Linked DNA regions of Schizosaccharomyces pombe. The gene in region 1 interacts genetically with each later gene. Each region holds a gene or a part of one and is shown on either strand. Other genes may lie near its edges. The genes, in order: SPOM_SPAC688.12C and jmj2.

Evidence for each region.
Region 2: mutations in SPOM_SPAC688.12C (region 1) and jmj2 together harm fitness more than expected from each alone (negative genetic interaction), as found in Schizosaccharomyces pombe (one large-scale study listed by BioGRID).

Annotation. Positions count from the first base shown.
Region 1 is NC_003424.3:3,137,859-3,140,912, forward strand, and holds SPOM_SPAC688.12C (uncharacterized protein), read right to left. Parts: upstream 1,467-3,054; 5' UTR 1,368-1,466; coding exon 864-1,367; 3' UTR 816-863; downstream 1-815. Other genes in the region: clathrin adaptor End4, read left to right, coding at 1-575; scn3 (TatD DNase family Scn1), read left to right, coding at 1,866-2,873.
Region 2 is NC_003424.3:1,804,834-1,808,770, forward strand, and holds the start of jmj2 (histone demethylase Jmj2), read right to left. Parts: upstream 1,965-3,937; coding exon 1-1,964. Other genes in the region: bouquet formation protein Bqt2, read right to left, coding at 2,437-2,569, 2,650-2,809, 2,885-2,948; SPOM_SPAC1002.07C (N-acetyltransferase Ats1), read right to left, coding at 3,409-3,543, 3,595-3,705, 3,797-3,827, 3,874-3,908.

The DNA.
Region 1 (3,054 bases):
TAAGCGCATCAATTGCCATTACCGAGGCTATTGCCAGATTAATTAAAGCAGCAACTGCTTCACAGGCAGAGATTGTTGCTCAAGGAAGAGGTTCCAGTTCACGTGGTGCATTTTATAAAAAACATAACCGCTGGACGGAAGGCCTTATATCAGCTGCGAAAGCCGTTGCGCGTGCTACAACTACTTTAATCGAAACTGCTGATGGAGTCGTAAACGGTACATCTAGTTTTGAGCATTTGATTGTCGCATGTAATGGTGTTAGCGCCGCAACTGCACAATTGGTTGCAGCCTCTCGTGTAAAAGCAAATTTCGCCTCTAAGGTTCAAGATCATCTTGAGGATGCTGCGAAAGCTGTTACGGAGGCCTGTAAGGCATTGGTTCGTCAAGTGGAGTCTGTTGCTCTCAAAGCTAAAGAGGTGCAGCATGAAGACTTCTCTTCATTGGGTGTTCATGAATATCGTCGTAAAGAAATTGAGCAACAGGTGCAAATTTTGAAGTTGGAAAATGATTTAGTCGCTGCCCGACGTCGTCTTTTTGATATGAGAAAAACATCTTATCATGTTGCCGAAGAGTAATTAAGTCTTTTCGATCCTTTTTATTTTTATGAATTAATTTTGGAAAGCCTTAAATACTCAGCTATTAGTGCTTCTATTTTTGCTAGGTCGATACGGGATGATAAATACATTGCGTTCTTTTCCGACCAATAGGCAGTATTAGTATATTTAAATTTTAAATGTAAATAAATACCATTACATATTGTGACACTTGTAGATCCTACTGATATACTAATGATCAAAGCAGAATGGCTAACCTACCGCACTATATCTCTTAAAGTAAAACAAACATAATCCAGATTTATTTTTCTACAACTTTTTCTTTTTCCTCCTCTCGGTTTTTTTCTCTTTCTTTTGCTCCTTCTTTTGTTCTTTCTTTTCTCGTTGTTCTTTTAAGCGCTGTTTTCTTTCAGCCAGTAGAGCCTCATCTTCAGGATTTGCGCAAGCAACTTCGAATAGTTTCCATGAAAGAATTAAACCTAGACCAGTCGCGCCAAAAACATAAAGATCTAAAGTAATCAATGTGGTCTGAACAAGTATGAATGTGATTATCATCTTAATGATGATCTCACGGCCTGACACATTGCTACGAACTTCTTTACGAATACCCAAAGGAAACCATCGAATTTTACCAGGGGGTCCAAATGAAATATGATAATTCCGTTTCGTGGGATTGTTAGAAGGACCCTTGGGCTTATAAATGTGAATTAAATTGATAAATGCTCCAATAAGGAAAATAGCTAGTCCAATTTTGTTATTCTTCGGATTCGAGAAAGTCTTTGTCAATTGATACGGAGATTCTTCTTCACTCATTGTAATTTATTTTCTATTATAGGAGATATAAAAGAAGAACCGTTCGTTCCAAATTAATTTGATCAAAGTATGGTGAATGAAACCGTCGGGGTGGAGGTTAGGAAAAATGTGGTACTACAGACAAAAAATAGAATAATTTGCCTCTCCCATAAACAGATATTCAAGATGTATTTTATCGTATGTTCTCAAATTACCTAGACGCTAACACTAATAAATAAATTTGAAAATATTATTGGTAAGGTGGTCACATGGAGGAACTAGTCAACGAAATAGGTATCTGCCCTTGAGCTTGCAGTAGACTAATTAAATTGAAGACGACTGTAATATTCAAGTTTTATCTTTATGTCATCAAGTAATTACCAAACAATGGGGAAACGAATGAAGTTGTTGAATTTCATTAGCATACACATGTTTTCGTCAACTCCAACGTTACTCTCCCTATCCCAACTATTTAAAGTACGGTGGGCAGAGAGCATTCTGTTAACTACAAATATCATTATGGAATCTATCATTGACGCTCATTGCCATCCAACTGATGCACCGCAAGAATTACATTTGGTTGCTAATCTTTCTGTTGGTAAATTAATAGTAATGGGAACCCGGCCGACAGATCAAAAGTATGTCGAACAACTTGCGAAAGAATACCCTGGTAAAGTAATACCTAGTTTTGGGATACATCCATGGTTTTCTTATTATTTGTACGATGATTTGGATAAAGATTTGCAAAGTAGTGAAACGAGAAAAAAGAAGCATTACGAAAAAATATTGACTCCAATACCTGATGAAGATTTTATCAATGCTCTTCCCAACCCAGTCCCGATTTCAGAATTTTTGGAGGACGCTCGTCGACATCTTAAACAGTACCCAAACGCTCTCATTGGCGAAATCGGCTTGGATAAGCCATTTCGATTGCCAGTTGGCCCATATGATGCAAGGTCCTCACTTCCTCAAGGACCTCTATCACCATTTTACGTAAAAATGGAACATCAATGTAAAGTGTTTGAAGCACAAGTGCGTCTTGCTGCAGAATTCCAACGTGCTGTTAGTGTTCACTGCGTTCAGACGTATGCTCTTTTGTATAGCAGTTTAGCTAAATTTTGGGATGGTCGCTGGATTCCTTCCAAAACGAAAATACGAAAGATGAAGAAAGAAGAGTACGAAAATTCTCTTGCTGAAGAACGAAAGCATTACCCTCCCAAAATTTGCCTTCATAGCTACTCTGGTAGCATTGAGCAAATTTCTCAGTTTTCAGCCCATAAAGTTCCGACCGAGTTTTACTACTCTTTTTCAATAGGTATAAATAGTCGTTATAAAAATTTTATTCAAACACTTAAAGGCGTTCCCGACGATAAGCTATTGGCAGAGAGTGATCATCACAGTGCTAGCCAAATCGATGAATTAGTTCGACAATCTTTGAACGTTATGTCAGAAGCTAAGTCCTGGACTTTTGAGGATACTATTACAAAAATTTCAAGTAACTCTAAAGCATTTTTGAAAGTAACTTGAACGCATGCACTACGGTTTATTGACAAATTAGAGTTACCTGCACAATCACCTTAAATAAGTGCATAAGAGATTACTGGCTATTCCCATTGGAATTGGTAACCTTTAGGTTCGTTTTTTATCTGTTTCGTTTACTAAATCCCGAAACTTGACTGAACTAGTGTGGAAATGCTTGCGTTTGCAT
Region 2 (3,937 bases), 1.3 Mb from region 1:
TCCTCCATTAATTCACGATAAAGTATTTCCTTTAAATCATAGCGTCCTCGTATCATGATACGTATACCTAATTCACGTTTGACAGCCTCATGCACCCAAGGCCTTAGCTCAGACACACTTATCTCTGACGCCGGATTTGTCGCTAAATTGTAAACCAACATATCATGTGAAAGTACAGGAGGTTTAAGAAGTGACTGATATTTCAAAACGCCATTCAAAGAGAATCCGTTTAGTAACCAATCTTTGGGAGCAAAATTCACTGCCTCATTAATGTTAAACCCATGATTAATTCCTGCGTGAAAGCTTTTTGGAAAGGTAATCACGAATTCATTAGGCCCCTGGTCGATGAAATAAACATCGACACCTCTTTTTTGTAGCTCATCAGGGTTGATCATTGTAGCTAATTGGTAAAGCAGATCTTTTTGTTTTTTTACCAAATCAGGAGCAATATCAAGAGCGGCGCGTTCAAACCTCTCGGCTTGATCACCTGGAATTCCATACCATAATTTTGTGTCTCCATAATGTTGATAATTTACGGAATAAGTATAGTTATCCTCGACATGCCAACAAAAAGTTGAAAAACACATTCCAACGTACAGCCACGGACAGGTTATACCTGAAACAGGATTATCTATATAGCTTAATAGAGAACCATTTGTGGATGCTATAACATTTAAATTCCATGTGTCCTTAGAGTAAGGATTCACTGGATTTTTGGCTAAACTAGGGAAGGCGCTGCCCTGATCAAGGGTTGATAAATCTGCACCGTATTCCACTTCAAGGCTTGTATTATTGTCTTTTACGAGTTTCCAATACTCTTTTTCAACAATATCCTCAGTTATCTCCGAGTCTTTAAATTTAGAAAAATAATTTTTCTTAAAATTGTCACAGTATTTTTCAAAGTTCGATAAAGTATAATAATTCCCTGTTTCAAACCCAAACTCATATGGATTAATTATACATTTAGTACAATACGCTTCTTTACACGTATCTTCGACTTCACAATTGACAGGTTTGTGACAATTGTCACATAAGTGGTTGTTATTCGTTGACAGAGAGCTCAATCGTCGCTTTTTATTATGTGAGTGATTATCATTTGATCCAAAATTATCGGCTGGCATATATTGTTGTTTAATCTGCTCATTTCTCTTGGATTCTTGGTTTTGAAGAATTCCTACGGACTCATTAGTTTCGGGGTTAAATTGTTTAGATGTCTTCTGATCTTTAATACTAATATTAGAATGTTCGTCTTTTGTAAAAAATTTAGGGAAGAGATCAGTTTCAAAGCATTGATCCTCAGAGGTCTGATATTTTCTGACGAAATCCTCAAATGGAAAAATATACCTTAAATACAAGTCACTTGCTTCCTTTAATGATGCATTAGTAAAAGGAATTGAAAGTTCTCGTAAAATCCTTTTCCATACATGAACTTTTAATTCCTTCTCACTTAGAGATGCATGAGAATCAATACAACGCATTAAGCTGTATAAGTCGATAGACGTATTGGAAATAAAAAATGATTCCGGGAGCTCCATGCCCAGATTGCAAAAAAAACGGTAAACGCGTTCATCGTAAGAGACTATTTCACGAAATCGAAGATCCATCATATGCAAATCCTGCCGCCGAGTACGGAAGGAAAACTTGTTCATGTCAAGTTGCATCGGTGGATTCCAACCAGCAGGAGGAACGATTTTTATGATACCATATTTTTCACCGATTGGAGCTATCTTATTAATATAACCGATAGAGTCCTGAAATTCCTCTTTATCAGGATAAAAAACGGGAGCAACTGGAAGTCCATGAATGGATTTGGAACGCTGTTTTCTTTGTCCGGTATTTTTTGACATAGAGGATAAGTTATTTCCCCGCGTATTCATCCCATGAGGTGCAGGTTTTAGTTTATCTGTAGCATGAGTGTATTGTACAAAAGATGGGGAAGTTTGATGAAAAGTAGACTTGCTCATGTTTCCTATGCAAATAAGTAGATAAATTAGTCCGAATGGTGAGCGATTCCAGAAAAAAAAAGTTATTATAAAAAGAATTAAAAAATAGAGAATAAAAAAGAAACGAAACGTAAATGAGAAATAATAAATGGAAACAACAGTTTTTAAACTCGGACTTAGATGAAGTAAGTTTTTTATGTTTATGCAATGTATACTTGTTCAATTGTCCATTGAAAAGACGTAAGTGTCTTTATGGGATATAAATAAAGAAATTAGGTAAAATTCGAAAATAATCTTAGGCTAATAGCATAAATAGGCATTAAATTAATATTCGTAACGTATGGTTAAGTGAAGGTTGTGACAACTTCAGTTGACGATTTTGAGAGCTAAAGGAACGATCATTAAATTATAAAGGATAGAAAAAGGAAAGGTATTTTTCACAATTAGCATAGAATTTACAATCGGAACAACGCCATATCAGCACCAAAGCATTTCAAGGTAATTCACCGTTTAGAAAAGAAAGCGTGGATGGCAGAGGCTGTAGATACACTGAACGTATTCTGTGATCAACATATAAAGGTTCCATCACGTTCAAATGAATGACAGGTTCAGAAACGTAACTTTTGCTAATAATGGTGGTTAGTACTTGCCTTGGTAAATGATAAGATAAACTATCAATGCAATATTTAGTAAATTTAATAAATACCTTCTGGAAACAGCTACTTGCTCCGCAATCCACCAAGGAGAACGACATTGAACTGATTTGTAATTTGGCAAGCGGACGTGCTTTCTTAGATGCATTGAAAATGCATAATCAAAATTTTCATAACCTTCTGCTAAAAATTTCGCTTCTCCGTTGTGTAATTCTATCTTTAGTAAGAACAACTGAACCATAAATCATTCGACAACAAACAAGTGCACATCAAACCTTTAAAACTTACGCCATAAAGCAATTAATGCAGAAGGTACGGTTTCATCAAAAAAGGCGCACTTTCCTTGAAACATTGACAGGCAAACTGTTGTAGGTAGTTGGTTTGTTTACAATTGCGCGCGACGCGTTTCGAAAAAGAAACACAATAAAAGATATTCAAGAATACTAACCAATACTTTCTTTCTATTTTTTAATACACAATAAGAAGCCGATTTGATGAATTGAAAGGAAAACGATCAAATTAGTTTTATAGGAATTAACATTAGAACAATATACCAGTTCTAATAATTTACTTTGCAAAAAAAAGGATTCTTTATTTTTTAATTTTAAAAAATGTAAGATGTAAATTGATATCGTATTTTTTGGTAAACGGGAAATAACCTAAAGACATTGAAATGACCGCTTTAAAACGAAACTACAAGATCCAGGATCTTTCAATCATAAAAAATTAATTTTCCTCTTTCCAGTTCAAGGTTTCAAAGGTATAACATATCATGCTTCAATTTTTTAGAGCGTTAAGTATTGGGTATGAGTTTAAAAGTTGCCGGGAAGTTTATCAGCAAGAGCCTTTAGGTTCTCGCCGGTGACTCTCATCATACTCCATCCTCCAACTTTTTGTGCTCCAGCCTTTTCATAGACTTCAATGGCTCTCTGGTTCCAATCAAGGACCTAGGGTATTAGTCAAGGTATAAAAAAAGAAATGGGTTATAAACAACTTACAACCCAGTCAAGACGTCTGCCACCAATTCTAAGTGATTCTCGTGCTAAATAAGACAGTAAGTAGCTTCCATATCCTTTTCCACGGAATTGGGGTCGAACATATAAGTCCTCCTAAGAAATTGAATGGTTAAAATCTTGCTATGAAATCAAAAGTTAATCCTTCAATAAAAAGGTTATGAAGGACAATATGATAAGAACATACTAAATAAATCCCCACTCTGCTAGTCCACGTGCTATTCAACGTCAGCTCATATATTTCAAAACGGAACTTTTCACTACCTAAAATTTAGGAAATATATAGCCATTCCTGCGGGCTGATGGCAATTATAGATTAGTAAAAAAG